Linked DNA regions of Drosophila melanogaster. The protein of the gene in region 1 interacts with the protein of each later gene in a pairwise test. Each region holds a gene or a part of one and is shown on either strand. Other genes may lie near its edges.

Evidence for each region.
Region 2: the proteins of Sam-S (region 1) and DIP-alpha interact in a two-hybrid assay, tested with the Drosophila melanogaster proteins (one large-scale study listed by BioGRID).
Region 3: the proteins of Sam-S (region 1) and E(var)3-9 interact in a two-hybrid assay, tested with the Drosophila melanogaster proteins (one large-scale study listed by BioGRID).
Region 4: the proteins of Sam-S (region 1) and CG10510 interact in a two-hybrid assay, tested with the Drosophila melanogaster proteins (one large-scale study listed by BioGRID).

Annotation. Positions count from the first base shown.
Region 1 is NT_033779.5:104,454-110,591, reverse strand, and holds the start of Sam-S (S-adenosylmethionine synthetase), read right to left. Parts: upstream 3,690-6,138; 5' UTR 3,592-3,689; intron 2,832-3,591; exon of another isoform or gene 2,828-2,831; 5' UTR 2,754-2,827; exon of another isoform or gene 2,246-2,753; intron 2,005-2,245; 5' UTR 1,907-2,004; coding exon 1,783-1,906; intron 999-1,782; exon of another isoform or gene 842-998; coding exon of another isoform or gene 799-841; intron 187-798; coding exon 109-186; intron 1-108. Other genes in the region: Nhe1 (Na[+]/H[+] hydrogen exchanger 1), read left to right, coding at 3,950-4,623, 4,677-5,080, 5,137-5,201, 5,256-5,587, 5,645-6,119. UniProt on the Drosophila melanogaster protein: Catalyzes the formation of S-adenosylmethionine from methionine and ATP. The reaction comprises two steps that are both catalyzed by the same enzyme: formation of S-adenosylmethionine (AdoMet) and triphosphate, and subsequent hydrolysis of the triphosphate.
Region 2 is NC_004354.4:3,526,588-3,532,872, forward strand, and holds the start of DIP-alpha (Dpr-interacting protein alpha), read right to left. Parts: upstream 4,079-6,285; 5' UTR 3,834-4,078; coding exon 3,728-3,833; intron 1-3,727.
Region 3 is NT_033777.3:8,989,565-8,995,629, reverse strand, and holds E(var)3-9 (enhancer of variegation 3-9), read left to right. Parts: upstream 1-2,680; 5' UTR 2,681-2,764; coding exon 2,765-2,953; intron 2,954-3,002; coding exon 3,003-3,840; intron 3,841-3,902; coding exon 3,903-3,950; intron 3,951-4,008; coding exon 4,009-4,700; 3' UTR 4,701-4,985; downstream 4,986-6,065. Other genes in the region: CG31100 (uncharacterized protein), read left to right, coding at 31-300; CG11975 (uncharacterized protein), read right to left, coding at 997-1,103, 1,170-1,931, 2,008-2,094, 2,180-2,246; CG11970 (uncharacterized protein), read right to left, coding at 5,232-5,741, 5,806-6,065.
Region 4 is NT_037436.4:21,206,973-21,212,773, forward strand, and holds CG10510 (uncharacterized protein), read right to left. Parts: upstream 3,113-5,801; 5' UTR 3,023-3,112; coding exon 2,852-3,022; intron 2,702-2,851; coding exon 1,826-2,701; intron 1,771-1,825; coding exon 1,246-1,770; 3' UTR 1,176-1,245; downstream 1-1,175. Other genes in the region: CG10512 (uncharacterized protein), read left to right, coding at 464-622; CG10508 (uncharacterized protein), read left to right, coding at 3,759-3,832, 5,078-5,186, 5,255-5,416.

The DNA.
Region 1 (6,138 bases):
ATGAATGAGATTATTTATTGTTGGTCAGCGCACCTTCATTGGCCGAATTTAATATAAATCTGATTTTGGGTCAGAGCAGTCATGTACTCCAGGTTTCATAACACTTACCACACGCCACCTTCGCGTTTGGATCCTGCTTCAGATGGGCATCCAAGATAGCGTCGCTGATTTGGTCGCACATTTTGTCTAAAAAAAATAAGGTAAGCAAGAGGTAAGCCAGAGGTGGGCGAAGAAGGAGGGGAAAGCATTTTTGTCGGGGAGTGGAAGGAGGAACGGGCCAAAATGTTATTCAGTGCGACGGATCAAAATTTGCTGGGCCATGCGGTTTCATTTAATCTGTCTGCTATTGACAGCGAAATTCAATTCCCAGAACAAGAGCATAAGGCGACCGTAGTGTTGTCCAAACACAAAATGATGACATTTGAAGCCGAATCGTCCATGAAATCCTGGGAGTCGGATTCATCTGATACCAGTCGGGTTGCTCGCGCTTGCCTCAAAACTTGGCGCGTAATTGGAGTCCGTCAACATTCGGCTACTTTTCGTAGTAAAGGCGTTATTGAACTCGAACATGCGTCAGCAATAGCAACATAAATTACCAAAACTGTTGACTCATAGAAATGGCGCATGGTATCGATTTCGGCTGGGATAATGATTGCGAGGAAACTAGTTAGGTCAAGGGTTTAAAGTAGCTACTCTGAAATGGGTTTCAGGGTTTCCAATTTCCGGCTAGTCTAATTATCTATTCTAACAAGTCCGTCACTCATTTATTACAAAAAGACAGGCGATATTAATGTCAACCATTTGGGGTGTATTCTTCTGAATGGCACTCGGCGCTTATCATCACGATTGTATAGGGCTAGATTGTCTAGGGCTAGCTTGCCAAGCCGACTTAATTAGCATTATAAAATAAAATAGTATAGAATAGTAAAAGTAATCAATGCGTAGTATAAAAGGTCGCTCGGCTTATCAACAGCTGTTGTCAAACACACTACTATACTGGTCGCCACTGCTGATATAAACAAACTCTGGGAGGGGCGAAAAGATCGAGCTCGAGCAAAACACGTGGTTGGCAATTTCGGTGAAAAAAATAAGCTTTGACAGCGGTCTAGAAAAATGTAAGGTATGTTTGTGTTGGCCGTTGTTTTGATCGCCATCTGCGATCAAATGAACAAGTGCGTGGACAACGTAGAACAACGTAGAGAATACTTGAATTTCGCATCTCCCATGAGCCACAAGCACATGGTGCGCATGACGTAGTCTCTCTGTACACACATACATACATATGTGAGAGCCGCAAACGATAAAGAACCAGTCTATTAATTGCGTCTGCCCATCCAAGCACAAGGTTTAGCCCGCTGTTGTGCGGGGATTTCAAGAGAAGCCAGCTGTTCTCCGTGGTCCCAGCTTTCCGGCTTGGTCACCGGGCGATGCAACAGAGGCACGTTTTACTAGCTCTTCTTCCCGTTCTCAGCCTCTGTTCAAGTCGTGCAAATTGGGTAGAAATCAACAAAGGTATGGACATAATTTCGTCGCCATTTTGTTAGAGTTCAGGCGGTAAGCAGAAGTGAGTAGACGGTGGAGGTGTGGAACTGGGTATACAGGGAAAGGGACTTCAGACAGAAGGGCCTCAGACGCTAGAGAATCAGTTTGGTCAGGTTATGAGAACTGACAGGCAACATCTCTCACCACGCCCGAAGGGGCATTTGAGATTGTTTCTTTTTTTACACTGACACTATCGGTATGATGCAATAGGAGGCGCCGCAGATGCAATGAAGCACTCACCTGGATGACCCTCGCCAACGGACTCGGAAGTGAACAGGAATGTAGCTCCGTCTTCCATGTCATATGAGTTGCCATTGCTGCCGTTGCATCCGTTGGCGCTATGTCCGTTTGTCTTTTGCGGCATGTTGATGGGTAGTTTGTAATATGTAACTCGAAGTTTGAAGGGGCAATGGGGGAGCAGTGCTATAACCCGAGTTCCGGTCGGCTAAATTGTTGGTGGAGCTGGGGGAACAGAGAGAAAGAGAGGCCACATTAGCGGTTGTTAAAAAACGCTTAACGAAATTGATTTTCCGAACTCTTGCAAAACACATCTATTTTCGCATTCGCGAATCTAAGCTATAGGCCGCCTCGAGGCTGTTGGGATTTTCCGGTATTCGCACACTTTTCGTTATAGTTTTTTTTATATAATCGCCCTTCTTTTATGTTTTTATGCTGCGCGTTTGCCACAATCGTCGCTACATACATGAGACGCACGTTGAGCGGGTTCAAAGCTAAACTAGTCGCTAGGTGAGGGCTCGGTGCTGCTAGCTGTTTAAAATGCGTGTTCGACGTTCTAGCTATTAGTTCAACAAATTATACACACTGATTCTGAGTTATACTGGTTCAGCGACGGCAACCAAATCAGCGGCGCAGCCAACACACGTCCTATCTTAGCGACGGTTCTGAAGAAAAAGAGCGCAACTTTTTAATGCCATTCAGAATTTATACCTCCAACGAGAGAGCGGGCTTTTGCTTATCGTCGCAAACGGAGGAGGCGGTTCTCTTCGGCTGACTCGATTATTATTTTGAGACTTATTTGGGCGCTCTTTAGGGAAACTTTCCTAGCGTTCTCGGTACTCTCAAATGATTTTACTTCTTCAGTATCTCCACGTTTTTGGGTTTTAAGCAGCTGTTCCGCCGCCCAGCGTTGCCACCCCGCTCCGGAGTGAACTGTAGTGAATCTAGATCCAGATCCTTTATTTTATACTCACTGTGGTTTTGAACAAAGGATCAGACAAGATATGGATTATAGTCTCGACTAGCTTCCTGCTCAACCTGCGTTCAACTGCGGATGATTTTTACAGACGAATAATATTTATAAATTTTTGTAGACAGCATTTGAGAAGATGAGTCGGCAAGAAATAAGAGCTTATCAGAACAAAACTATGTGCTACCACGGCAGCCACCTATATACCTAATTTTTAAAATCTGTTTAGCATTGCTCTCTCGGCTTCTCTTATGTACAGCAATTGACATATACATATTCGATGATATAGACAATCGCTACACGAAGCGCAATTCGAAGCGAATTTTTAAACGAATGTCTGTATCTGTTGAAACCCTAGCTTTTCCCTAACATGGAGTGACTGCCCTTTTGGAGATGGATCGTTCGACACTATCTTGTCAAGGAAAGTCGTCAATTAGGGTTCTCATACTATTCGAACAATTTGTGCTTTTGAAAAAGTGCTTACGTCATGCCACAGCCAAGAAGACAAACAAGGTCTGCCAAGATCAAGGAGCCTGGTAATCAGTTTTTGCATGTACATTTTTTAAAATTCTAATACCCACTGAATATAACCGAAAACAACAAGCCCCATTATCTTTCAAATAAGGTGTGACCCCACGGGGCCTAAGAAGATCGCGTGTGCCTGAACGAACAGATGCGCAGGGCACATTATTCTTGAGCACAAATGGTGGGTGCTTGCGAACTGTAGATTGTGGCAATGCATTTATTTTACTGATTTATCGTCAGTTATTGTAATAGCCTTAACTAAACAATTTATCACTTTGCCAATAACAAGGTTTTTTATTATTTCACTTTTCTAATACATATATAATTTTCTTTTTGCCGTAAGAAACGTTCTCAATACGTAGACAAAAATATTTAAACTTAAAATGCTCAATTTTCAAGACACTTCACAAGAGCTATCAGCTACAATGACTGGGCAAAAGCCAATTATTTAAATAAATTCATTATATGGTAAAATATACTGCACGCAATTAAGTGCACAATTTTCTTTTGAATATATGAAAGGCACGCGCCAATAAGCCAAAATGATACGGCAACTCTCCCCGATATACGTCAGATAGGGCGATAAACAGATGTTTGTGAAAAAACAAATTGAACAAATAGTGAAAAGTTAAATGCGAGCGTTAATAGCGACCACGTCACGTTTTGTCGGCAAAAATGAGGGTTTGGGTAGCTTATAGTGCAGCTGCACTCTTACTGTTGGTGCACGCGGGTCCGGAAAGCATCAGTGGACAGGAGGTGCCCCAAAGCAAAACATCAAGCAACACCACCACTACAGATAATAGTAGCTCTATCCACACCGTTTCGGATGTCTTCGTCAACAGTCCGCTTGGAAATGTCACGCCCTCGATTTCTGCATCTGGTAATGCAAGCACCACGAAAAGGGGAAACGCATCCACATTGGTCACAGATCCGCCTCTAATCGATTCCCATGCTGTCGAGCAGGAGCACAACTCCTCACTCTCACTGTTTTTCGTCATCTGCGTTATCATGTTGGGCATCCTGCTTATCCACTCTATGCTCCAGACCGGGTTCCAGTACCTGCCAGAAAGCATTGTGGTAGTCTTTCTGGGCGCCTTTATTGGCCTTTCGCTGAACGTTATGTCTGGGCAGAATGGCAGTTGGAAACGTGAAGAGGTCTTCTCGCCCATGGGCTTCTTTCTGGTGCTCCTGCCGCCCATTATATTCGAGTCCGGTTACAATCTGCACAAGGGAAACTTCTTTCAGAACATCGGATCCATACTGGTCTTTGCCATATTCGGTACAACAATTTCTGCACTAGTCATCGGGGCGGGGATTTACCTGCTGGGCCTGGGGGAGGTGGCATTTCGGCAAGTTTAAAATAAATTGTCAATTTCATTCAATAATTTATCCTAAATTTTAGCCTAAGCTTTTCGGAATCCTTTGCCTTCGGTTCTCTCATCTCTGCTGTTGATCCTGTGGCAACAGTGGCAATTTTCCATGCTCTTGACGTAGACCCCATACTCAACATGTTGGTATTCGGCGAAAGCATCCTCAACGACGCCATATCTATTGTGCTGACTGCATCCATAACCCAATCCGCTAACGTCAATGCTGAGGCCAGCACTGGAGAAGCCATGTTCAGCGCGTTGAAGACCTTTTGCGCGATGTTCTTTGCTTCGGCGGGCATTGGAGTCATATTTGCACTAATTTCGGCTCTTCTTCTGAAGCACATCGATTTACGAAAGCATCCATCCCTCGAGTTCGCGATGATGCTAATGTTTACTTACGCACCTTACGTCTTGGCAGAGGGAATACACTTAAGCGGTATATCAATGTTGTTGACTATGACTCTAAAAGCTAAACATTTTTTTCAACTATAGGTATTATGGCTATACTATTTTGCGGAATCGTCATGTCCCACTACACGCATTTCAACCTATCCACTGTAAGTCATATGATATCCCTATTTTATATATTATTAAAACTTTTTTAATCGTAGGTTACCCAAATTACCATGCAGCAGACGATGAGGACACTAGCTTTCATTGCTGAGACCTGCGTGTTTGCTTATCTGGGATTAGCAATCTTTTCTTTTAAACACCAAGTTGAACTATCTTTTGTTATATGGGCCATTGTGCTTTGCTTAATTGGCCGCGCCTGCAATATTTTTCCGCTCGCGTTCTTGGTCAACAAATTTCGCGAGCATAAGATCAATAACAAGATGCAGTTCATTATGTGGTTTTCTGGCCTACGCGGAGCGATTTCCTACGCGCTATCTTTGCACTTGAATCTTGACAGCCAGGAGAAACGACACGTCATCATAACAACAACGTAAGCATATTCCGGATTGTAAAATAATGCTCAGTCATTGAAGAATTAAAATTTCAGATTAATCATTGTGCTATTTACCACGCTAGTGCTGGGGGGCTCCACAATGCCTCTGCTAAAGTACCTTAAGCCAGGAAAAAAACGGCGGGCACGCGGCTCTGGAAGGAATGCCGCTGAGGAGGGAGGTCGACGCAACGGCAGCGGTAGGAAGCGTTCAAAATCTATTTCCCTATCGAAAACTCGCGAATGGGGCCAGGCAATCGACTCTGAACACTTGTCTGAACTCACCGAGGAAGAGGACGTCACCTTTACTCAAGCGCGCGATCGTTTTGGGCGCATGGATCGCAAGTACTTTATTCCGTTTTTTACACGTCGGTTCAATAGTCAGGAATTGCACGAGTGCAAGTCACAGATGGCCGACCTGACTAACAAGTGGTACCAAGCCATTCGAGTGAGTCCATTGGATTCAGATGAATCGGACGAAGAGATAGGACTAGCGGCCAGCACAAGTCAAATTCATTTGACACGGTCGTAGGGATTAAATGGCTGTTGTG
Region 2 (6,285 bases), on another chromosome or scaffold:
ATTGTAAACCACCGCAGCTCGCAACGAATATAGGTTTCAATGGTTTCTCTCACTGTATGCCATGCTACCTTTTCTCTGGCCCTTCGTTTTTTATGACCTCACACTTGAACAGGCCCACAAATCCAGTGGCAAAGCACCAATGATAGGTGATAATGGCAAATTTGAAAGCCAAACAGAGTTGGTTTCCAGACCCAAAGAAAACCGAGCCTGCTACAAACTTAAGCTGAAACAAAGAACGAATTTGGCCTTAAAGTCATGCTTTGGCCAAGACAAACAAATGACTTGGGAGAAGAAAAAAAAAAAAAAAATCAAAAAAACAAAAAAACGGCATCAAGAAAAAGCCGGCAAATTGACTGTCGGTTGGCATTAAAATTAGCATTTTTACAAATCGTTTTCGACTGAACTTACACTTTTCCCCGACGAAAATTCAATTTAAATTTCTTCTCCCCTTTTTTCCCCTGACAAATGTCGCGCAATTAATTGTGTCTAGATTTCTGTTTCACACTTTCCTGCAATATTTTTTTTTTGTGTTTTGAAAAGGGTTGCCCTATAATTGACAAAGTTTTCCGTCCGAGAAGACAGGTCCTTCTCTTCGTTTTCGATTACAAAATATTTAAAAATTTATTTAATATTGTTTTGGTTATTGCTGTTCAACAAATCAACAAAACTTTAATAAACCTTCAATTCCATCTCTCATCCTCTTGCGATTCGGTTACTTCAATCCAAAAAATTTCTTTCTCGCCTATTTTCGAATTTTATTCTTTGGGCGTCACATAAAATTAATTACAAATTACGTGCATTTTTCGGCATAGGGCAACTTTTCTCGCAGTAAAGCGGCGAACAAAAAAATAGTAACTCCGTCTGCGGCTTTTCTCGCTGACCGCAGGCGCTAAAAGCCAAAGAACCGCCGACAAAAAAAAAACAAAAAGAAAAAAATGATAAGTGCAGGATAAAGGGAGTTGTGAGTTAAAACTTGAAAAAAGAAGTGCATAATACACAGTAAACATAATAATGTGAAATGATGACACTTTCAAGTGCCACAAGAATCTAAAAGTACGCAATTTTAACTGGAAGAATTTTAAGTCTCAAGGATTTTGGAGGCGGATTTAATGAAAAATTAATGATATTTATAAATAGCAATTATCAAAAATAATAATTGAAGTGAGAGAAGCATATTTTTTTTTTCTGTTATTTCACCGTGCATGCGTGCAAAAAATCGTGGTTACGGCCGGTGCTGTTGGTATCAATTAAGTCACTCGTGGGACGGCAACAGAATGGCCATTAATGGCGCTATCTCGCTCCCGCCATTTGGCCATACTGCGGTTTAGCTTACATTTCACATCCGGTGGGCGGGCGTGGTCCTTGGGGGGCGGGGCGGTGGGTGTCGGTGTTTGGCAATTAATTTGCATATCATTGATATGCACACACAGTAACAAACACGCACATGCACATTATATTTGCTTAGGATTATTATCGGTTATTAATGTTGCTGTAATTGAAAATTATTTTCACTTTTATGTTTATCATTATCAACTGCCATTTTACATCCTACATCCAGCATTTCCATCTGCGGCATTATCGTCGCATGGGAATTATTGTTTGCCGTGATTTAAGTGCTTTAAATATGCACATCTGCATGCATGTATGTATGTATGTATTTCGTATTTATGCGAACCGAGCCCACGAAGCGTGGGCCACGTCCATGCATAATTATCAACATTATGGGAATAGTTTTGCTACTAGTTGGACTTCCTGAGGTTTTGTCGAGGCATTTTCGCACCATTGACACGTGTTAAATAATAGATTTTGATCCAAAGGCTGGTCGGTTCATATTTTAAATAACCTTTAATATTAAGCGAATTGTAATATTTTAAAACGATTTTGTACAAACATTTTGGTATTGGTACAAGCATTTTGAACTGCATAAGTATTCGGTTCTCAATTTATATGCCATAATAAACAGTTTAGCACGCATTGTTCTTATAAGTGCTGGCTTGTCTATTAAAGTTTTATTGAGTCATAATAAAGCTGATTTCGGAATTAGTTCGGTTAACAGCCCCACCGATTTTGGAAAATCTACTTCGGCCCATTCGGAAAGCCCCAAGCGAATCAAAATTAATGATACGATTTAACCACATTGACTGGGGAATAAAACAATGGGCCAACTGTTTTTAGACTGAATCGCAAACAATAAAGACCGTGCCGTAAATATTTAATGCGAGGAAGGAAAGTATTTGTGATTGTCGCGCCGACGTGAACAATTTGGCACTTCATTTTTTATAATTATCATACGATGGTCAGACAATCGGAACAGCAATCACCGGCGGCCAGGTGAAAATTTGCCCAGGGAATATTGTGGTAAGGGGGGGGGAGGGAGTAACGGCGGGAAAGTGGGCAAGGTGAAAACATAATTTTTGCACAATTAAAATGAGGCGAGAAATATGTGCGCACGATTCAGTGACCAGACAGTGTATCGCTAAAATTAAACGACATCTGAAGGTAGTTTTAATGAAAGAGACAAACATTTGTTCAACAAACATTTTAAAAATCTTAATAAAAATTGTATTTACTATCATTACCGGCTATCATTGTGTTTTAAGCCGCTCTATAGTTTCGAAACATACTGTAATCGCGTTGAACAGATTTGGCTCGAATCCTGATATCAGTGGGATCAGTTCTGAAAATGTGAGTGCAGATGTAAATGTAAATGTAAGTGGATGAGTGAGTCAATTAAATCGCCATTGAATGGTCAGCGTTCAGTTTTCGATGTTGCGCGTTGTCTTTTGTTTATTTATTTATTTGTTTGTTATTTATACGTTTTAATGCCCAATGGCAATGGCAACAATGCAGCGGGCAAAATGCAATATGGAGAATGGTATCCATGACAGTGCATTAAGCAGTCTCCAGCAGTTATTAATCGCCTGTTTTCCCCGCTCTACCTATCATTTAGGGGTTTCAATAGGGCGCCGCAATACGGCGAAACAATTATCAAGTCGGTTTGCGTTCGCTTTCCCGCCGGATTGCGTCCGTCCGTTCGATTTCCGTTTCCGTCGCTGCACAACACTGATTGCAGGGTTGCATTCGGGCAGAATGCGGCTACGATAAACACCTGATAAGCTCCCGATAACTCCTATAAGCACTCTTCAAACGGATCAGGCCAAAAGCCAGCTCACTGACCAGATCTGAATTTTTTTTTAATGTAATACTTTGGTTGCATTACGCAGCACCAAAAATTAAGTTTTCAGCTGATTGAACAAGTTTAACAGATTTTTATACTGAAGTATAGTTGATAAATTTTTATTTTTAATTGATGCAGAATATTTCTGAATTCTTTTTAAATGAGCGGACCGACGGTAATTAAAACGATCCGCTTTGAAAATATTACATACTAAAACAAATTAAACTTTGAATAAGAGAATATTTTATTTATGACCATTTTCCAGCTTTTTAGTATTATTATCAGCGTCGATTTTTAAGTAGTACTTTACTTTATAGGTAATAAGTTTGTCGGAAACTTTTAACAGTTTCTAGGTGAAGAATTTATGAAGAAACTATGACAGACCAAAAATCAATTTACTCGAATTGTAAAGGAATTTCTTTTCGGCCTTGGGTTTTTTTTTATTTTCAATTCGAAATATTGTATTAATCAAGAACACACGCAATAGTTTTCAACATTTTGTACAATCCGTTTTTCGATATTTTTTTAATGATCTAATGATCCTTTTACCTTCCAGAAGCGAAACGATGAGCAGCAGGTGAATCAACATTTTGCCATTCCGATCGCAGCTGGTGAACTGAAAATTCCGAAGTAAGCGTTTCGCCGAGACTGGCATTTGGTTTCAATAACTTCACAAACACAAACACATTTGCGATCGTCACGCGGAGAAAAAAAAAACAGTTTCACTGCACTAAAAAAATGTTAAAAAAAATATTCACCCAAATGTATATGCTTTAGAGTATTTTTTTTTTTTTATATTAATAATTATTTCTTAAAGACGCGAGTATTCCGAGAGTGCAGCTTCGAGTTCCGTTTGACTGTTTTTCAACCAGCCGACAGCGCCGACGTTGATCAACTGAAGATGCAGCTGCCGGAATAAGCATCCTGTGGCCTCGAGGACGACCGAAAACGAACAAATCGACGGCACCGAAATGGCACGAGCTTCGAACGAAGCGACACGAAGTCCTGTCGTAATCGTTAGCCGTTGGATACTGTAAAACCGAACAGCCGTCCCGAATGTCCTGCTGACGAACCCTCGTTGCCAATTGTCGAAGTGGATGTTCGAATCGAACGCCGTCCACCATGTGCCGAATGCGATCCACATGGCGGGCACGTGGTGGAACGCATAGCTCTTAGATGCCGGCGGGGGGATGTCCTGGCGGCGCAGGCGCCGTGTCCTTCGGAGGAGGAGTGTCATCCACATTCGTCTGACAAATGGTACGACAATTGCTACAAGCTGTGGTGGCATTTGGCCACCGCCTGGCAGAATCTGAATCTCCTGCGACCACAGCGTCCAAATGGAGTGACAGGAGGGTCCGCGCGTTGGGCGCCAGTTGTGAAGAACTCGAGATTGCGACAGGTCCCTGGGATACAACATTTCACCAAGAACTCAAGTCGAGTTAGTGAGACCACTAAAAATTTCAGCAAGCACTATGTGCTATATATGTGCACCTTTCTTTAGAAAGCCTCATCGCAATGGGCCTCATCAAAGGTTAAGGGCTACCGATTTTGCTAACCGATATAATTTCCACGCAGATAATACAGTTTTATAATAATATTATTGCTAATAGTGACATGCAAAATATCTAACCAAATACTTTTATGTCACAGAAAACGTAACCCTACGATTTGAAACAAATGAAATGATATATTCTCAGCTGCAGATCAATTACTTGATTTGCATTATTGAACCCTGACTTTTGTGCCAAATTTGTTGGTACAACCACTTAGCCACATTCCACATCGATTTACGTATGCAATTTGGTCTACAAAATGCGCTTGAATCATTTTGAGTTTCGCATATGCATGGCCAATTACTTTTCCCGGAGGTCCTCATAAGTTGTCCGTTTCGAACTGGCCTCCAGCTGACATTCGGTGGTTGATCAACCACCCCAACAATACCCCATTTCCATTTGGCCATCGAAAGGAGCAACTTTGCCAGCGTTGGGCGGAAAAAGTTTCGAAGTGCATTCTGCATTCTGTCAGATAAGCAGGCGACACAATCCCAATCGAAATCCCAATTGACATAATTTTCAATATTTCAATGTCGGGAAAATAGGTAGATTGCACTGGAATTTAATTGAACTTTAACTGTCAGTTTTTTGGGTCCTCAGAGGCGTCACAAATTCGCTGGGGGAGGGACCACATCTTTGGCCACGATGTGACAGGACCGAAAGTCAGGGCTGTCAAAGCTATCACAAAGTGGCTTAATTATCCAATAGACGCTAGATTCTAAATGTCAGCGGATGCCAGTCATCTTAAATTGTGGATAGTGTCTTCAACTTTTCCATTAAATAACTCAATTACGCCTCAGACTTTTGCTGATGAATGGGTCTGGGGTAGAGAAATGGGGCTGAGGCATAATTATGCCATTACGCAATTTTTACCACCCGATCCGCTTAAATGAATTGCAGCTGCTCCGCCATCAGCTGAAATGCGCTGCAACAAATCAAAGTGCGATTCCTTGAATGCCACGACGAAAACTTTTCGGCAATTATCCACAGGAAAAGCGGAGAATAGCGAAGAAAATCGTTGAAAGTGCGAGGAAAAAAGTTTGATAGGAGAATTTAAAATTACCAGAAAGCTTTGAGGATGATCCAAATTCCCATTAGTTACAACTGTCCGAAAGAGTTCTACAAATTATTTAGATATTGACATCCGAAAATATGAACTACTGCAAGTGGCCAGGGTGCCTTGTTTAACATGGGTTTTAATTAACAATCTAAAGTTTTTATTTCTTCCTCTCAAATTAGATTTTACCGAATAGATCGACTTCTTTTATAATCTCAGTTCGAAAGTCCCCAATTTAATTTTGAGATTATTAACACCTATACAATGTGGCGCAAATAAGTCCTCGCCAACAACACACATGGTTAACTAATCCTAGTCTTTTTCCTTCACTTTTCTACAAACTTCTGGGACAACGAAGAAACCAAAACCAAAACTTTTGTTTCTAAAACTCGTGTTCCAAGTACCATGCACAAAGGAGGCGATTCTGGGCGTGGATGGGGCCAGGTGTGTGTGAATTTTGAATTTGAATCCCACCCCCGCTTTCGTCCTTGTCTGGC
Region 3 (6,065 bases), on another chromosome or scaffold:
TTACTTAAGTTACTTAACTATATATTTTAGGAAATCGAAGCTCATTTCTCCAAGAAATCCGATGTGAATCTGCTTCGCAAGCAGCCCAGCAACAAGTTACCCATCAAGGATGAGGCACAATTCCCCGGGAATACTATTAATATGCAAGGTAACTTCCAAGTGCCCATCACATCGACGCAGCAGACAAAGATCATCCATTTGCAACAGAGCGATTTTACGCCGCGTTCACAGAACGGAAGAACAGCAGGAGTTGGGTTGTCCAATCCTGCCTTCGAGGAGAGTAACACCACACATTTGTGAGGGGCTGCGAGTGGACTGTGTCATCACCTAAACATTCTTTAAAAGTGCTTAACATTCCAGTGATATTTCTGAGAAATAAACTTAACAATTTAGTTTTATGTATATGACGTGGTTTTTATGTAACATGTTTAATTCGAAATGGGTTTCGTCTATTTTATTTTTAGGTTCAAGTAGTCTTTGTAATGATTCACTACCAACCTCTATCTAAAAACCTTTAAACGTTCGTGGATAACAATAATAGCATTTCTTGCAAAGGTTTACTTATCAGAAAAAACTATGCACTATTACCGACGGCAATGGTAATGAAAATGAGTAATGTCCCTTAAAATTATAAAAAAATGTAGTGCCAACAAAAACGATAAGCTCAAGTTCATTTAAAATTAATAAGTAAATCTTAATTTCTCAGTGGGGAAATAAAACAAAAACCTTTTTCAGCTTTTAAAGTTACAATTGGCGTAACAATGCATAAAATGAAGGCTAAAGTAAAATTAAATGAGCATGTTGGATTATCGGTTTATGTTTCAAATAAAATATAAAATATCCACAATCATGTCTCAAGGTATAACTACATTTATGTGAACTCGACTTTTAACGTATTTTAAAGCATGCTTATAAGTAATATTGTATAACACATTTCCATGGAGATATATAATTGTATAGATGCATCAAAGGCGTTCGCAACAATCGGATTTGTTTCTAGGTCTCATCGTCTTGCAGCTCAAGGAATTGTGTGCAGATGTCTCGACTGCACTCGCCTTTATTGTTAAATAGGAATTTATAATAGTGGCCGTCTGCACAAATGGCTGTATAAGAGAACAAATGTCGATTAAAGAAATCTCAGGGAAGGATCCACTCCATTTCCAACTTACCCACAACCGAATTAGGATCGGCGCCAAAGGCACATACACATCGAGGTCCCTGGGGTATTGAAAACTTGACAAAACTCCACTGGCTCGAGAAATACTTGGGTATTATGGGCAGCGAGGATTCACGGGGCTTGTTGTCCTCCAGGTTGAAGACGTGTATGGTGCCATGATCGGAGGCGACGACCACCATTGTGGACTGGTGGTTAAAGTTGATGCAGAATATGTTGGCGTGGTTGCTTCCGCGCCTCAGCTCTGATACCTTCTTGCCACTTTCCGTATCGAAGATACGGATGAGGGTGCCCTTTTCCCCGGCGGTGGCTAGTCGCGTGCCTTGCAGATTAAGGGCAATACAGCTGATACCAGCCTCGTGGGCGATCACCTCAAGCGGCGCCCGCTCTGTGTTGGCCAGATCAACAATTTGAACGTGGCCAGTTCGACGGCCGGGGAATGCGAGGAGGCTCTTATTGCTGTGCGGGCACAGCACACACAGCCCGTTGGGATTTGAGCTGGTCTCAAAGACGTGCAGCTGCTGTGGTTGCTGAGTGAAGGTGAACACCTTAATCACGCCCTCCAACACGACCACGATGCGATCCCGACGCAGTCGTACCGCCCGCACGGGCTGATTGAAGTCCAGCGATATGGCCGGGGACTTCTTCAGGTCATCCCACACGATCACCTTGTTGGGCGGGTACAGCGGCCGGATGCCGCCTCCAACCAGGGCTAAGTAATTGCAACGAAACAGCATCTCCACATGGCTGAGACCACCTGAATCGGAATTGTAGACAATGGAATTTGTTTTAGGCCGTGGGAGTCTCCCGCACTCTTTTTTTGACAATCATACCCTCTGGAAAGTATTGGCGCTCCTTCTCCTTCAGCGGATCACAGTTGTAGACCCGGAATCCGGTGTCCGTCGCGCACGCGAAGCATCCTGCAACGCAAAAGGCCAGTTATATTATACCGATAAGGTGTATCGTGTATATGTAAATAACACACATCCGCACATATGTACGTACCTTGGTCTTGATTGAAGGCTGCGTAGAGCAGCCCGTTTCCATATGGGTTTTGCTCTGTGAGGTTCATTGCACTCTCCGGGGATGCTGGAAGCCCGGGCTCTGGTGATTTTCAATACAGTTGCTGGGCAGGCAGGAAAACAATTGCTCGGACGGCGGATGATTGTGTTTTTTCGTATAAAAACAATGACACAGTGTTGAGTATCGTCGAAAAGTGGCCGGGCGGTGAATCGATAACTTTCAATGAGGAAAGACGATCCGCTAAATCGGGATATTTTTGGGTTTAAGAACTTCTTGCTATGAGTTTTTGAGTAGTTACGTAACACAAAGAAACATTATAAATAATCTGCAATGCTGTTTTGGATAAGGTTTTTTTTAAAGCTAAAGATCTAGCTATTATCGGTAGTATCTAGATAATTAGATACTGCCAGCATCACTACCACCCACAATCCTTCACTATCGACCGACGGGTATAATTTTGCAACACTGTCCAAGATGCTCCACCTCCAATTTCACAGAATAACAAAAAGGAAAATGGTCGCTTTGTGGAACGGATTCCTGTAAAAATTGAATATATGCTAGCGCACCATGGAGTTCAGTGCGGATCTGAATGGCTTCAATGAGGACTCCATCGAACCCTGCCGGACTTGCGGAATTTACTTTACCATGGGAATGGACATGGACCAGGCGATTGTGAAGCCCATTTTCGGTTCGGATGACGCCGCCGTCGCAGATATGGCGGAGATTCTCGAGCAAATGAATGATTGGAACATAAAGGTTGGTAGTAGTGGAATCGTACTATGTGTACCTAACTTATGTCCCAAAGGTTGCGAGGGAAGACGGACGACCGCAGTACATGTGCATCGCTTGCATTGCCGAGTTTCACCGGCTGATTAAATTCAAGCGCAGCTGTGTGGAGACACAGGAGCAGTTCGGCGAGCTCGAGTACCAGCGCGAACATAATGGCATCGTTATTAAACGGGAAATTGAGCCGGAGGAAGAGAAATTCTGCGGATTTATATATCTGGATACCGACGAGGAGGATAACAGCGACGAGGACGGTAGTAGACGCGTGTGTGCCGTCTTCGACATACCGCATGTGCCCATTAAGGAGGAACACATGGCCCGAGTGCCATTACAGAACAGTGACAAGTTTCAGCCACCCGAACCCAAAAATTTTGCGTCGCCAGTCGACTCCAGATTCGACATGATAGACAACGATGCGTTAACGTCCGGCATGTTAGGACCGTCTATTGAGGATCTCTCCGGGACGGTCGACGATGGCACCGAAGATGAGGAGGAGGAGGAGGAGGAGATAGTCAGATTTACATACGATGATGACAACGATGCGGCAGCCCCGCTTCCGCCCCCGCTTTACTCGCCGGTTGTGTGTTGTAAGCTATGCTTTTACGAATCCCCCGACCAGGATGCGCATATGGAGCACATGCGCCGCACCCATCTCCTCAAGGACTGGGAATGCCATATTTGCGGCAAAAAGTTCACAAATGCCCAAGAATCGCGCATCAAGTTTCACATCAAGTATCACAAGCTACAGCGGCACGTTAAGTGTCCCGTTTGCGGGTTCATCTGCAGCTCCAAGGAGACTCTCAAGGAGCACAAGCAGGCAGTGCACGTACGCACAAAGTGCACATACTGTGGAAAAAGTGAGTTCAATATTCTCACTTATAAAACTAATTTATCGGATTAATCACATTTACCTTTGCAGCTGTGAAAAACGCCACTCTACACGCACATTTGAAAAAGCACTTAGAAGGTCAGTAAGAAGAATTACAACGGTTTTATTTGTTTATAACTTTACACTTAATGCCCAGAGGGTGAAGCCGAACTTGCCCAGCAACTGAAAAAATTGGAGCAGCTTCCAGTTAACCTTCAATCTCAACATTTATCTTCACTGGAAAGCAGTGTCGCCGAAGTCACCACGGCTTCTGAGGGCTCAAATATTCCTGGGGAATCCACTGTTCCTGAAGATTCTAATGTAACCGAAAACTCCAGTGTTCCTTCAATAGAGACTTCCAATCATGCGGACATTCAATGTCCAATGGGCCCACCTGCAAACGGAGAAGTTCCTGATGTAGCAGATGTAGCTTCACCGTCAACCGAGCCAACTGAAAGTGTCACTAAGTGCTCATATTGCAGCGACACATTCGAGAAGGCCCAGCAGCTGCAGGCTCATGTGCTGGCCACTCACACACAGACAAGAAAGAGGCGTCGCTCTTCAGACAACCAGTCATTAGTGAGAAAGACCACGCAGGAAATACCTACGTCGCCCATTGCAAAGATAACCAAGAAGCAAACCATCGAGTCCAAAGAAAGAGTCGTCCTAGAGTCTTCTTCTCAATTAGATAGCACTGCCCAGCAGGAGAGCAGGACTTCAGCGACCTCTAATGACAGCTCTCCTGTCCAACAGGTGCCAGAAAAAGCGTACATCTCGTGCTACATTTGCGGCAGATCCTTTGACTTAAAAATTAAGCTTAACAGACATCTTAAGCAGCATAAGGGTTAGTATCGTTTCTAGCGTATAGCCATTATTCCATATTAATTTCATTTTTCTAAAAATGTAAGAGTATTGTGCATCTTATCATTTTCCACTGGCCTGCCAAATGCAAACGTTGAAATTTGTTATTTAAATTTTCTTATTTTTATATAATTGGTTGGCGAAGTACTTACATTCGAATTTTAATGTTTAATAAAATAGAAACCATTTTGCATTTGCCTTTTATCCATACAGAGTTGGAAAAATGCAAAGCACATTGGTTTTTGTATTGCAAATAAACATGGCCCTTCTGGTTTCATCTGAGTTTTATTGGGTCTGTATATATATATATATATATTATTTTTTATAAACTGTTCCATAAAATTGGTTGCTGGATGGGACATCTTATCGTTGTCCATTATATTTACTTAGTACAAAGCAATATTTGCGATCTTTCTGCTTACATAGATAAATTACAAGTGTTGTTTAAACAAAATCGAAGAAAGTGTAACCGGTAAGGATATTCAACGTGGTTACCAAGCCTCTCCGCTCCTGAGCCTCCTAGTTGCCACTCCCTGTGGCCGTCTTGAGAACCGTAGCCGGTATTAGTTTTGTAGTCAGCGTTTTTGCTCCTGTTTCGCCGGCTGCCGTGGTCACAGAGATTTTTCCTCCTACCGCTGCCCCACTTGCCGATGCTGCAGCCATGGGTATCACTTTTAAGCTGGACAGTGGCTTTAGGTTCATGCCCTGCAGTCCCGGTGAGAAGAAGAGCTGTCCGCCGTTGCCTTGCACGGCGAAAACGAGATTGTTGCTAGGCGTTGCCGTCGCTGTCGCAGCTGGAGATGCTGTCGTGGAGCTGTTTACAACGCTGCTGTTTGCTGTACTAGTGATTTGCTTGTTGGCCACCAGTACGTTCTTGGCCAAGCGCGGTCCTATTAGCAGCGTTTTGGGTGCCGTCGTTATGCCGCTGGTGGAAGTAGTTCCACTATTACTGGTGCTACTGGCTAATCGCAACAGTTGGTTGCCCATAATGACAGTCTGAACGGGTGCGCCGGCACCTCGAGCGGAAATCTGAAAATTTAACATTGAATTTATAAATAATACTATTCGCCTAAAATCTCCCCAAATAACTTACCGCTCCCTGAAGCTTCACTGTCTGACCTCCAATCACAATATTCTGAGTTGTTCGCCCGGCAGCATTAGTCGCTCCCGTTCCCGCAACTACAGTTCCACCTGCTCCACTGCCGCTTCCCACTGCCGCTGATGCAACTGCTGTTGTCGTCGTTGTGGTAGTCTGGGTTGTGGGCACACTACTACCGCCAATCTGTTTTAATGTTTTGGCGTGGAGTAGTAGTGGTTTTCCCGGAAGCACAGTAGTTTTTCCAATAATTTTGG
Region 4 (5,801 bases), on another chromosome or scaffold:
GATTTTTACTGTTTCAAACATTCCAACAAATCTAGTATACTCTTTTAATCTATAAGTAGCGGCAAAAACAACCAGTATTAAGAAAATTTAAATAACTTTTAAAATATTTAAAATATTAAGAAAGGTATGATTTCCAACTGTTGTTAGTCAAGTAAAAAAAAAAAAAAAAGGTTTGAAATTTGAATACAAATCTATATTCTCCTGGAAATAAATTATTTGATAATCTTATCAAAAATACATACAAATGCATATATAAAATAGATACTGGCACTCTCGTCGCCATAATCTTAATATCTTCAAATGTATTCAAAACAAATAAAAAAAATATTAAATTTTCTGGAAAATTATTACGATAAGCATTTTTGTATACATTTGAATAAGTTTTTTTTTAGGATTTCTTCTATATAAAGTTTGCAAAAATGTTTACAAAATTTATTTTCAATTGAAATACTTACATTTTCAGACCGATCCCAGCAAGCCCGTTTTGCTGGCTGGAGACAAGGAGAAGAAGGGAATGGCTGACGTCGATGCCGCCGGCGGTATACAGTATCTGGAGAATCAGTTGAAGACGTGCGCCAACCTGGCGGAAATACTGAAGATTAAGCCCCTGAGCTTTGTTTAAACTCGAAAGAACTGGTGGACTTACACTAGGGAGTCAAGCATACCCATTGCCATATGTTGAAGACGCCTCTGCATTTTGATGGACCAAAGCACTACAGTAACACTTTACACTGAGAGAAATATTGATATTTGCAACAGTTAGATTAGATTGCACTGGTGCTGAACTAAAGCTAGTTACATATCTCCATGTTGCACTTAAAACATATTTCTAGTCTCCTAAGAGTCTGTCGTTGCTCCTATTATTTAGTTTTTAACTACGCAAGCTTTCTTATTAACTAAAAACATGAGCTTCGGCATTCTTTTAGGGAATTAGCAATATTTAGTAGAGTAAAGACTTGCAGTTTGCAAAATAATATACATAAGTAGAAGTACAGCTAAATTTCTGTTTAAAACAAAAACTATCTGTTTTAAAATATATTGATTTTGGCACTTTGAGATACCCATGCTGTGTTCAGCAATTTCAAAACTATTAAAATAAACAATATACTCTTCGATAATCAAATATTTGTCTTTATAGCATTTTTTCTTGCGATTGCAAACAAGGTAAATATATTAATTTAACTATTATTCAATTTAATTGAGCTCATTTTTATATTTAAACATAACTTTGAATGCCACATATTTTCAAAAGTCCAGAATCACCTCATTCAAAGTGGCTTCGGCCTCCCACTTGGCCTCCTTGTGTGCCGTCGGTGAATGCACGACCTTTCTGGACTTGAATTCCTGGCACTTTGTCTCGAAAAGTTTGGGTGGCATGGGTTGAGTTGGCGATGAAACATGCATGGCGGTTCGCAGCTCTTCCGGATCCTCGGTGACACTCATGGATTTGATAAAGTCGATCAGGCGCTGATTGTCCTCAGTGAGGCGACGCTTCTCCTCCAGCATCAGCAGGTTTTGAGCTTCGGCCATCGCCTGGCGGCGCCAGAAGTTCCTGAGACTTTTGTTTAGCTCCACGAGTTCCTCCTCGGTCATGTCCACGTGATCTTTCAGGTTGAGAGTCTGCAGCTTGAAGTATTCATCGACATCCACCTCGGTTTCGTCGAATACCTCGCCGCCGAGGATTACCTTTTCCGATTCGGTTTGCAGTTTCCTGCAAGTGATCGACAGGGCCAAGAGTAATTCCCCACTTTTCACGTGCTTCTCCATTTGCTGGAATAATATTTCAATTTAGAAATGGGTAATAGGGCTTGGGACAAAGGTTCACCTTGGTCAACTCGTAGCACTCGCCGGTCAGGATGCGCAACTTCTCGTGCGTGATCTCGCGATCCATCTCCTGGTTGAGCTCAATCTTCTTGCGCACGTTGGTGAAGTACTGGAACTCCAGGCGAAGATCGTTGAGCGTGGAGTTGTTCTCCGCATCCATGCGAACCATTTCGCGCTGCAGTTCCGCCTGCATGTTGATGTACTTGGACTCCTCGGCGTTTAGCTTGCGTGACTCCTCCATGAAAGCCGCCTGCCGCTCCGTCAGCCAGTGGATCTTCTCGTACTTGTGGGCATCCAGTTCGGTGCTCCTCAGCGACTCCACGAAGTCGTTCAGTTGCTGCTGCATGTGCGTCATCCGGCGGACAATCTGATCTCGAATCTTAAATCTGTTCTCAATCTCCGTATTCACGCGATCGTCGCGCTGCTCCAGGTAGATAGTGTAATCCTCCTTCAGCTGATCCCGGGTGGTGATGTTGGTGGCATGGATTATGTTCTCGGAGTTCGTTTTCATGGCTTCCACCTCTTCGGTGCGCCGGCGCACCTCTTCATAGTAATCCCTCAGCATCTCGTCAGCCTGCTGGTCATACATGCTCTTCACCCCGCCCAACATCACGTGGAAGCAGTCGCGAATGTGATCAATCAGCTCCACCGTTTTGCTGTAGCAACGCACGTGCTGATCCTGCGTCTGCGCCATGTCGTCCAGAAGCATCTTGATGTGGTCGTTCTTGGCCTGAATGTTACGTTCCGAGCGCTCGCCCCAAGCCCTCATCTCCTCGTTTAGCTCCTTGATCTTGATTTCGCGGCACATCTCGTGCCACTCCTCGTTGCCTTTCTCCTCCATATGCTTGCCCATCTCCAGCTCGCGCATCAGGGCATCCTGAGAGGATCATGGCGCAACATTAGAAATGATGCGTTTACAATTTTAATATAGTCTTAATATATTATTTTTATTATAAAAATTAATAATATTAAGGATTTGCTTAGGTTCATCCTTAATAAAAACTCTGCGAAAGTTAGTTGAACCCACCCGCATGATGAGCCGCTTCTCCTCGATCATAGCCAGTCGCTTGGCCTCTTTCTTGGCGGCCTTCTTCTGAGCCTTGGTTAGTTTGGGCGGTCCTTGTGGCTCCGGCTCCTCCTCCAGTTCTTGGAGGTAGTTTTCCGAAACACGCGTCAAGCGTGCCAAGATTTCGGCCATTTTGCCGATGTGTAGTTGTAGCTGAACTAAATGCGTAAATCAAAGGTGAAATTTTTGGAAAATTGACGGGGGAGCTAAATTCGAATTGTGTGCCTGTTTGAAAGCTGAATCGAAGTTTGGCGCACAGCTTTCGACGGGCAAATTCCAACACTGGATACCAGCTTTTTTAACGACTATTCGCACAGCATCTGAAGCTTTAACGCCCGCCACTGATTTCCTCAGTTGACTCTCAAAGCTTGGCTCGCGAGGTTGTTTATAGCGTCGCGACTCCAGGATTCCCCAAAAACGATTCCTTTCCGGGTAGCTAAAGCCTGGCTGGCTTGCTTACTAACGGCACGCCACATCGAACTGTGTGTGTGTGAGCGTGTGTATCTGTGTGTTGCGGTCCTTTTTCCCGGCAGGCAGTGCCTTGTAAACAAAAATAACTCTGCTGCCGAGGAGAGGTTGCCATCGAGGGTGGTTACAACCCCCAAATCTGAAACATCCGACGACAAAGGCAACTACAAAGCTCCGCGCAGGATAAGTGGCAAGGGCACTCCTGCCTGCCAACTTTTCGGGGTTGCAGACAGTCGGCAAACAAGCTGCGAATGCGACTTTAAACGTCCATAAACATTCAGGCAGAAAACGAAAATAATAAAACGACGGTCGTTCGGTTTAACTGGGCATCGAAGCGCCTCGCATCTGCAAGTGCAATTGTTACTGTATCTGCATCTGTATCTATTCGTGAGCGGTGAAAATGAGCGAATCCGGTGGCTATCAGAAAATGCCGCCCGGCTGGGACTGCAAATACGATCAAGCAACTGGAAATTGGTGAGTTGCATGTGCACAGCCCGACGTCATAAATATTTATGCATCCATTAACCACAATGTCGTGAAATGCGGACTGTACTGGGAGATGTGGTGGCCAGTTGTGGGATATAGGGGTTCCATTTGATAGGTTGCCACGGGGGCAACTGATAAATTTGCGTGCCAACGTCGCTTGGGGTGGCTCTTTCGGTGGGCGAAGGATTATGGTTGGGTGTGTGGTTGTGGGTGTATGTAGGGGGCCTTGGGGGCGTAAGTCGCTTACTTTAAAATGATTGGGTGGTAGGCGTCCGGTTGAGGTGGTGTTTGCCATGTTTGGCCTTATAGTGATAAGGAAATTATTCGTTAGTTCGGTGGCTTGCAGAACTTAGTTTTGAAACACCTTTGGTATTTAAACTCTTAGGACGCAAGCTCGGTACTAATTTAAATTATTCATTTAACACACAATGGAACGAAGTACAAGCTTGGATTGGATATTGGCTAACTTTTCTTCAGCTTATAATCGAAAGAACTTTCTAACATAAAATTTTCAAAATGTTTTATGTTTGAAGAAAATGTTTTAATTTAAATTTAAATTATTATTACTGATACGCAAAACAATTTTACTGAACTCTAAAGACCCAGCGTGTGGGTACCATGTGGTTCCCTATGGGCTACTTAGCTTAGTGCTCCTTAGCCACTCCAATTGGCCTCGTTTCAGCGGCATAAATTGTGTCACTTCCGCGTCGTCGGATGCCAGCGGGGTCTTTAACATCTCCTTAGCCTATCATACATATATACATATAACTTAACCCCTTATGCTTAAAAAGCCATGTGCAATTAAGCAACATACGTTGTCATACGTTAATTCAAGAGGCCACTCAACCGAAGACGAGCTTTCCATCCTCACGACGTCCTCGTCGACATCCACCCTCTCCATTCCGAAAATCAGAGCAGAGATGGCCTGTCAAACGACGATGAAAATGACGACTGTGCGTCCGCCTTTTGGCAGCTACTTGGCACGTGCCTTGGTTTAGGCGGTTCCTTCACCCTTTACCTGTCCGTCCTCCCAAGGGACCATCAACATGTGGGGAGAATCCCAAACCAATCCACTCCAATCCAGTCCACCACCAACCGGCCGGCTTTAGGATGTGCCTCCACCCTTGGCCTGAATCCAAGAGCTTTCGAATGGCCCTGGGTGGGAGGTCATTTGCTGACCTTTGATTTGATAGAAGCTCATCTTCCATTCGGCTGCCCTTCTTCCCGTTCCAGCTATTACATAAACTATCTGACGAAGGCCATGCAGCTGGAGGATCCGCGCGGCCGCAGTTACAGGCAGTTGCAGAACGAACGCTGTTCCACGGAGTCGATAGCCTTGCAGGTAACCTCCGCTTCCTACCCTGCATTTTATTGATTTTTTATTCGAATGGGAACCCTTGTACTTTTCAGCAGTTGGTCAGTCAGCCGCAGACGTCGCACAACAGCTCGCCGTACCACGTCCATCCCAGCAACAACTTGACTGCAATTCGGGCCTTCCAGGAGCGCCAGCAACCCACGCTGCACAACATCTCTACCAGTCCATTGTTGTCGGCCTCCTCCAGGGGACACTTGGTGAGTATGAAATGACCTGAAGATTGATTTTGATAGAGAAACTACAGCCATAGTTGGCAATCAATAGGCAAATCACGTGTGGGTGCGCATCGAAAAATCTGTGAGCATCATCAAAAATGTGCATAAGTAGGTCGTTCTTTCGCACAAAAAATACGCAATTACCTTCTGATATAGTGATTACAACAAGATATCCTGATTGTAGATACTTGTAAGAGGCTAATAATAGATAATTCAAATAGGCTGAGACCTTCAGGAAATAGTTGTATGTTTTTTAAGTTAACAAACATGAAATTCCATGAGTAGTATCCGAAGCCCCTTGCTTACTTTGCGTTTAAGTATCGATAATTGGTTTGAATGAATTTTTTATTAATTAATTTTCCACCTA